Linked DNA regions of Arabidopsis thaliana. The protein of the gene in region 2 interacts with the protein of the main gene of each other region in a pairwise test. Each region holds a gene or a part of one and is shown on either strand. Other genes may lie near its edges.

What was found. Proteins that work in one complex are often made in the same cells at the same time.
Region 1: the proteins of AT3G07500 (region 2) and RSZ22 interact in a two-hybrid assay, tested with the Arabidopsis thaliana proteins (one large-scale study listed by BioGRID).

What each region holds. Positions count from the first base shown.
Region 1 is NC_003075.7:15,304,652-15,309,595, reverse strand, and holds RSZ22 (serine/arginine-rich 22), read right to left. Parts: upstream 3,053-4,944; 5' UTR 2,829-3,052; exon of another isoform or gene 2,825-2,828; intron 2,626-2,824; 5' UTR 2,614-2,625; coding exon 2,525-2,613; intron 2,422-2,524; coding exon 2,333-2,421; intron 2,159-2,332; coding exon 1,906-2,158; intron 1,827-1,905; coding exon 1,692-1,826; intron 1,569-1,691; coding exon 1,532-1,568; 3' UTR 561-1,531; downstream 1-560. Other genes in the region: AT4G31570 (nucleoporin), read right to left, coding at 3,560-3,662, 3,727-3,829, 3,927-4,062, 4,156-4,811, 4,885-4,944. UniProt on the Arabidopsis thaliana protein: Sequence-specific RNA-binding protein probably involved in pre-mRNA splicing. In vitro, can complement efficiently splicing-deficient mammalian SRSF7-depleted HeLa cell extract.
Region 2 is NC_003074.8:2,390,619-2,394,280, forward strand, and holds AT3G07500 (Far-red impaired responsive (FAR1) family protein), read left to right. Parts: upstream 1-1,597; 5' UTR 1,598-1,768; coding exon 1,769-1,769; intron 1,770-2,314; coding exon 2,315-2,766; intron 2,767-2,890; coding exon 2,891-3,091; 3' UTR 3,092-3,160; downstream 3,161-3,662. Other genes in the region: AGD11 (ARF-GAP domain 11), read left to right, coding at 571-1,032; AT3G07510 (maternal effect embryo arrest protein), read right to left, coding at 3,277-3,662.

The DNA of each region.
Region 1 (4,944 bases), on a different chromosome or scaffold from region 2:
CACTGCAGAGAATTTATGTAATTTAAAGTCCAACCTTTGTGGAAAGAGATTGTAACTGTAAATAACTAACAAGAACCAGTTTTCTGACTAAACTGAAACAAGAGAAAGACCAATATTTATTGTATTCTCTGAGGATCTTAGGACATTCTCAACTTAGTGTCGGTGAAAAGTGAAGAAACGTGGAGCAAAAAAAGTGTCGGCAGAGGAAGTGGAATGAGGAGAAGCATAATTGCAGAAAAAAAGCAGAGGTCAGAGAGGTTTACGTCACATAACAATCAATTCAATGATGTGTAAGTGAAGAATGGGACCAAACAGATTTTAATTTGGTGGGTTTGTTGATGATTCTGGGACCGAACTAGGATCATGATCTTGTCTCTCTTGCTTTTCTAGGCTTTTAATTGTTGTCATGCCAAAACAACGTCTCCATGTCTACTTCGCAAGTATACTTTTATTTTTTCACTTAATTTGGGATTTATAGTTGCTGAAACGAAACCATAGCTAGTTGTTACGTGAATAAGAGCAAATCAGATTATGTATTCAATCTTCCTCTTAGGCAATTACTTTGCTTCACCTTCATAAAAGTGAACAATTTCACAACTATGCTTAAGTGAAATGAACACAAGTACCAAATGGTAGCAACTGATACGCATTTACAAATTCTTGACTTGCCTATATAAACCGTGAAATGCACAAAAATCTATCCAAGGACAAGAATGTGCATACTAAACACTATCACATAGCTACAATTATGCTAAACCTAATGCACAACATTCAGACCACACAAGAGGTGCTTCTGAGTGATGCAGCTCAAGTTCATGCAAAGAAGGTAACCTCAAAGCTGATGAAGTTTTCAAACAATAGCGCATCTCTAGGGTCGAAGATGAAGTAGAAGCAAGCCATGTAGGGATCCACAACCGTAGTTAACTTTTCCCATAGCAGGCCGAGTAACTAAACGAAGATGATTCATAGCAGAAGAGTAGAGAAGCAAGTAGATAAACAATGAAGCAGGCCGAGCAACTAAATGAAGATGATGTTAGGGATCCACAACCGTGGTTTAACTTTTCCCATACCAGGCCGAGCAACTAAATGCAGATGATTCATAGCAGAAGAGTAGAGAAGCAAGCAGATAAACAATGAAGTAGGCCAAGAAACTAAGGAAGATGCTTCATATGAGAAGAGTAGAGAAGCAAGTAGATAAGCAATGAAGCAGTAGTAGTAGTAGTAGACCCGAAGAAACCTCGACACGGTGGAAAAAGACAAGAAACGCTTAGGCATTTAGCAGAATTTCCAATCAAACATTATGTCTTTAAGAAACTAGGGTACGAATCAAGTGTTCTTTTACCTATTGGTAGATACACAACTACGTACGTTTCATATCCAAAAGCAAAAGTAGCAAGCTTTATCCAACCCAGCAGACCTAAAACATGTTCTCTTACTGAAATTCATAGATGATAGTAACTTCCCTTAGTCCCTCTCTTCTTCTCTTCCAAAGTATCCTCCCACACACTCGTTTTCTTGCAAAATCACTCACTCAGCTCCTGCTTCTGCGTCTTTCTTTCAGTCCATTTCTGAAGAAACAAGAACAGATGTTGAATTAGCATCTGAAGAAAATGTAAATGTTTATCTCTAAGAACTATAACCAAAACCTAAACACTGATAATGATATAGAGACTTGGGAAAAAGAAATTTACCCATTAGCATATGGCACTTCCTCACGCGCTCTGTATGGAGGTGGTGATCTACTGTAGCTGCGGCCACGGGCAGGAGGAGGAGAAGGACTGCGGCGCCTTGGAGGAGGGGGAGATCTTGCACGAGGGCTGTAACTCCTAAAACCAGAAAAAGGCAAGGTTACTTAATCCGTTCAAAATAAGGTACTAAGGTAACAAAATAAAAAGCATCACTGACCTCCGTCCATAGCTTGGGCTCCTTCTGTATCTTGGAGGAGTGCGACTACGGCTCTTGCTGCGACGCCTTCCAGTTCCACCACGGTTACGGCATTCACGTGCGAAATGACCAGTCTCACCGCATTCATAGCATTTCAAATCAGAGCCACCACGACCACCACGGCCGCCGCCACCACCTCCACGGTCACCACCACGACCGCCGCCACCACGCTCACCTCGATTGTGAGACTGTTCAACCCTCCAGCCATTCTTGCCTATCCGTTATCACAATATCCATGTCAAATTGTGAAGTTTCAAGTCAAAAGTAATTGCAAACCTCAAATTTCTCTCCTTTAAAAGATTCCACCAAACTTATTTTCCAATCCCAATCAAAACATCAACTTCTAAGAGAACAAAGCAAAATAGAAAGAATATGAATGCATCATTACCATCTAAAGCACGGATAGCATCACGGGCATCCCTAGGATCTTCGAAATCTAGAAAAGCGTAACCAGGTGGTCTACGGGCAACCCAAACACTGCACATTACATATGAACATTAGAGAGATGCAAAATTGGATACTTTTAACTTCAAAAGTGACAAAATTGTAGCGCGAACTGATTGATTGGATTGATTCTTACCTCCTGACAACTCCAAAGGCACGGAACTCATCCTCAAGTTCACGCTCAGTAACTCGCGGGTCCAAATTTCCGACGTACACACGTGACATTACTTCTGTAACCTGTCAATGGCACAATAAACCAAGGTCAACATAAAGGAATTCTAAATCTTTTCTAGTAAGACATTCGAAAGGATTTGAATTCATCGAGAAAAAATACAGAGTCACTAGATCCACCAAGTGACCCGATCAAATTTGAACAGATCGGATCAACGTTACCACAATTAAGAGTGAGAAGGAGATAAAGAAACTTGGTTGCGACCTACCTTGTGGGAAGAGCTGAAAGCACTCAAGGGGCAAAAAGAATGGCTTTTTCTGTGTTTTGCTTTGTGAAGAAATTAGGGTTTCTGAATCTGAAATTTGATGAAATACTTTCCAAAGGGTTTTGTAAGCGCGTTAACAAAATTTAGTAAATATACAATTTGGGCCTATTTATTGGGCTTAAAAGTAGCCTTTTCATGCCTTTTTTCAATAATATGTTAGTGTCGGTGATATTTATTTTTTCTCTGTATAGTTTGTTAAATACTTAAATGTGATCATTTCACGTATTTTGCTTTGTATTTCTGAAAATAATGAATAGCAGAATAGGGAAAAAGAAAAATAATAGAACTTCAAGTCTCTCTAGTTAAATCACACTTTCATTCCACAGCTACTAAATAAACTTTCTTTCTTATTCGTTTGAAAACCCAAGCAGTTTGTGATTCGGATCAATAAAAATGCTGAAACCACAGTTTGCTTGGTTAATATAAGCTAAACAATGAATTAAAAACAAAGACAAAGACAAAAAAAAAAAAAAAAAAAAAAAAAAAAAATTAGTGTTGGAGACGACAACACATCACCACTTTGATGAGCCCATGCATGCTATAACGAGAAACCAGCTGCAAATATACGATTAAAACACGTCTTAAAAGCTTAGCAAATCAAGCTACTCTTTGCAACTTGTTTTGGGATTAAAAAAAAAAAAGTCAGTAATGAGCTTACGAAATTGGAAGTTTGGTTAGACCACGAAAGCAGCCAAAAGAGCATGCAATATCGCCCAGTATAGCATGATCCCTAACCGTAAAGCAGGTTGTCTCATGAGCGTCCGATCACAAGAGACCCTGAAAAGTTCAGAAACCAAATAAAAGGGTCGTTTTTTGTTAGATCATAATTAAAGAACTTTACACTGAACGAGATCCATGGATGAAAAGAGTCTGACCATAAACCATCGACCATGTTAGTGATGGGTCTTGTGAATCTAGGAATGATTCTTGACGTAGAGAGTGATCTGAAACCATGAGCTAAAAAACAGAAAAAATACAAATGGGAATGTTACTAAGAAATGTTGTTAAAAGTACTAAATATTCAGAGACAAGTTTAATTACCTTTATCATCATCTTCTTCTAAGCTACCGCTTTGATCAGTTTGATCTGCATCTATACTAATGGCGACTTGATCCATATTTCCCTTACGCAAACTCCGGACTTGTGATGGAATCGATGTTTTTGTCCACTTGTTTATCTGTGATATCCAACAAAAAAAAATCCACAATTAAAAATTTATCATCTTGAGGCATCTGGAATGGTGTAACTATTTAACAAGCTCAAAGCTTACCAGAGGTTCCACTTCAACGATCTCTGACGTCGAGCTTGTTGAAATGTCTTGTTGGGATTCTTTCTCAAGTAAGAATTTCTCAAGAGTTGCTTCTTTCTGTCTGAGCTCAGCCACTCTACTCCTCTCGCCTTCAAGCAAAACGTCCTTGCTTTGTCCAACCAACCGTAATTCGTCTATTTCAGATAGCATAGACGCTATCCTTTTCTCAAATGTCTCCATGTAGTGGTTTATATGACTGTCAGCATCAGTGGACAGCGAATCTTCTATACCAAGTAGTGAAGCTATCGTGTCGAACCAAGACAGTACAGTTTGGATCTCTTCTGAATCTCTCTTAGTGCCCATCTGAGAAGCAGCAAGAGCCTCATTGGTGCACCTAGTGACTTCTTGTCTTAAGAAAGAAACCTCTGTATCCCGATCTTGCACTTGCTGTTGAAGTTTCTCGATTTCAGCAAGAAGATTTTCAGAGAGGTGATGGAGCTCATCGAATTTATCCACAGTAATTGATAGCTTTTTGGAAATCTTCCCACGAGAAGCTTCAGCTTTCTGCAAGTCTAGGTTCTTCTGTTGCACTTCCTGTTCTAATTCTGTAACTCTGAGTTTCAGATCCTCCATCTGAGACTCTTCCTCGTCAAGCGCTTGCATTAAGGCCTCAATTTCTGCAGGAAGCAATTAGGTATCAGCTATATATGTGGCGGTGCAAAAACAAAAGGGTAAAAGAGAAAAACTGACCTAGGTCTTTCGCAGCTAGTAGATCACTAAGAGATGTGACCTTCTCCTGTAATTCTGAGT
Region 2 (3,662 bases):
TTTATTTTAATTTTATTATTGTTCAAGTTGTCTCTTCTATTTTCGAAACATCGCCATGTTCAAATCGACAAAAAAAGAAGTGTATAGAACAAATCCACTTAGAATAAGTTACATCTTATGTAGATAAAATAAATAAATAAGTTTTGTAGAAAATTAACCAAACATATACAAACAGACGATAAGCATTTGAATTGAATTATATTTGTCTATACCATAAATTGAGTCTCAAAAGATTTAACCTGAAATAACTATCCTAACGGAAAACTGTTTTGAAGATGACAAAATACGAGATAATGTGTAGATTCCGTGTGTATCTCTATTGATAGACTTTAGTTTTTGTGTATTCTTGAAGGACATAAACCTATTTTAAGACCAGTTCAACAGAAAACTGGTGCAGACCACGATCACAGTTGTAATGAGTTTTCTAAAATGGTAACCACTCCTTTTCCTTTAAGAAGCAGTCCTTCTTGTCTCCTGCCCTAATTCTCTTCTTCTCTATAAACCCATATTCTAGTTTTGTTCTCATTCATTCTCTGTTCAAAGCTCATAAATAATAAACTCCAATTAAGAATGGATCAAGCGGAGCTTGCCAGGATCTTCCAAATGTTCGACAGGAACGGTGATGGCAAAATCACGAAGCAAGAGCTGAATGATTCATTGGAGAATCTAGGAATCTACATTCCAGACAAAGACTTGGTGCAGATGATCGAGAAGATTGATCTCAACGGTGATGGGTACGTGGACATCGAAGAGTTTGGAGGGTTGTACCAGACGATAATGGAGGAAAGAGACGAGGAGGAAGACATGAGAGAGGCTTTCAACGTGTTTGATCAGAACCGGGACGGGTTCATCACGGTGGAAGAGCTAAGGTCTGTGTTAGCTTCCTTGGGGCTCAAACAAGGAAGAACCCTAGAGGATTGCAAGAGGATGATAAGCAAAGTTGACGTTGATGGAGATGGCATGGTGAATTTCAAAGAGTTTAAACAAATGATGAAAGGTGGTGGATTTGCCGCCTTAGGATCAAACTTGTAAAAAAAAAACTCATTTTTCGGGTTCGGGTTTGAGACCCAAAATCATTGGGTATTTTTTTCTTCGGAATGATTATTAGGGCAAAACCTTGAAAGCGATGATGAATGGATTTGCAAAAGAAAAAAGCTCAACAAACTTTGTGAGCTTTGTTTTGAATGCTCCTACAAAAATGTTGTTGATGAATTTGCTTTTCGGATTTTGAAACATAACCATGCGAATCTACGGGAACACTTGATGATTCTTTTATTATTTATATATTTGGGTGTTGCACTTAAAAAGTTATCACTATCTAGCTTATAATCATAAAATGATGAAAATATATTTGTATTTGTAAATTACAAAGATTAAACACAAACAAACAATCGAATTTCTACCCAAAAAAACAAACAAACAATCGAATTTATGTCTTTAAAGTGAAGATTTAGGTCAAAGTAATGGAAAAAAGTGTCTCATGGAATATGTTAGTCAGGCGGTCAAAGTAAAAAGTAAAAAGAGAAAAAACTATAAACTACATGATGTTTAACTCTTCAAGTGACGTCAAGACATAAACTACGTGCCGTTTCGCACTATTCGTAATCCAACGGGCGAGACTGGAATGAATTTATGACCAGATCTTGGTTTTTTCTTGTCGTCTTCTTCACCGCTTACCAGTTACTAACTTGAGCTTCAGAGATCATCATCATCATCACTTCCTCTCTCTGAAGAAAACACAATTTGGAGTTTTCTAATCTTCATTCCAAGTGAGTACTTCAATCGAATCCCTTTTCTACTATTCAATAATTCAATCTATTATTCAAATTCTCGTCTATCTGTTTCGATGATTTTGAGGTTTTCGCTCCCTTTTGTTATCAAATTATGGAATCTGATTCCCAATTTCGCGTTTGTATGTACTCGATTTTCTCTTTTTTCTTGCATGATTACACTTTGGTGAAGTTCAGAATTCGAGTAATATCACTTGAAATTGCTACTCTCTGCCTATTCATTAGGGTTTATGAATACATAGTTTAGGGTTTATGTTTCCATTAGTCACTTCTTGAGGACCTGCTTATCTTCGAGCCATTGTGTATTTGATAAACTTTGGAAGAAGTGTCCACTATATCTAGCGTAGGACTGAATGTAGTAGATTAGAACTGCTAAGAGTTGGTTAGAGAAAGGGGTGGGTAATTTATAAGGATTTTCTAGGGTTTGGTTAGGTATTCGGTAGAGAGTTTCTGGTTTGGTGAACAAGACATAGCTTTGCATCATTTGTTTTGAGTTGAGATGTTTGTGTGTTGTGTTGTGGCAGTGGAAGGGAACTCTTTACCCGAAGAAGATGTAGAGATGATGGAGAATTCAGATGTAATGAAGACAGTCACAGATGAAGCTTCTCCAATGGTGGAGCCGTTCATTGGTATGGAGTTTGAATCAGAAGAGGCTGCAAAGTCTTTCTATGACAATTACGCTACATGCATGGGTTTCGTTATGCGAGTGGATGCTTTCAGGAGGTCAATGCGAGATGGGACTGTGGTGTGGCGCAGACTCGTGTGTAATAAAGAAGGATTTCGTAGGTCGAGACCTCGGAGAAGCGAGAGTAGAAAGCCTCGGGCTATAACAAGAGAAGGGTGTAAAGCTCTGATTGTTGTGAAAAGAGAGAAATCCGGAACATGGCTTGTTACTAAATTTGAGAAAGAGCATAATCATCCTCTCTTGCCTCTCTCCCCTAATGTTCGCCGGAATTTTCAGCTCCCTCAAACACCGGTACGTCTACGCACTTTTCCTTGGGGTAAAAGTAAAACAGTGATTATTGGCATTGATCTAAGAGTTACCAAGAACATAAAGCTCAAAAAATGATATCGAAATCTTGTACAAATGAACTTTTCAGGACGAGAAAGACGCAAAGATTAGGGAGCTGAGTGCAGAGCTGAGCCGAGAGAGAAGGCGTTGTACTGCTTTGCAACAGCAGCTTGATATGGTCCTTAAGGAGATGGAAGAACATTCCAACCATCTCACCATTAACATCAATAGTGTTATCCAAAGTGTTAGAGACATTGAGTCCAATACTTTCACCAAACAACAAACATAATGCTTCATTTCTGTTCATAAAAGCTTAACATCAAATTCTCATAATCCAATGTTCTGTATCTTGTGATTGATTCTTCATTCTCCGAAACAAAAAAACAAAAAACTAGATTGGAAGGCATTGATGATGAAATTACACATTGGCTAATCAAAACAAAGCCATGGACATTATCCAATTTTGACATAGCATCAATGCCAGAAAGCGTAAATGGCGGTAGAGATGTAAATCAGCAGAGCAGAGGAAACCAGAGTGACGAGCGTTGCAACAGCTTGAGCCGCCGATTTGCTGCCGCAAGAGAGCAAACCAAGACGGATCTGAATCACATTAACCATAGAGAGCATCAAGAAGAGACAGCCCATTACAGATCCGACAGCAGAAGCCATCATTCCCCATCTCAAAACCTTGATATTGATGTGAGCTCTGAAAATCTCGTTGACGTCTTTGCTATTAAGAAGGTTTAAGGCAAGCTTAAGACCCTGAGCTACAAGAGAGGAGAAGAGGAAGAAGCTGAAGGAGACGACTTCGAAGACCAGTAGCTTCTTGGCGACGTCAGCACTTGCGTCGCAGCTGGATC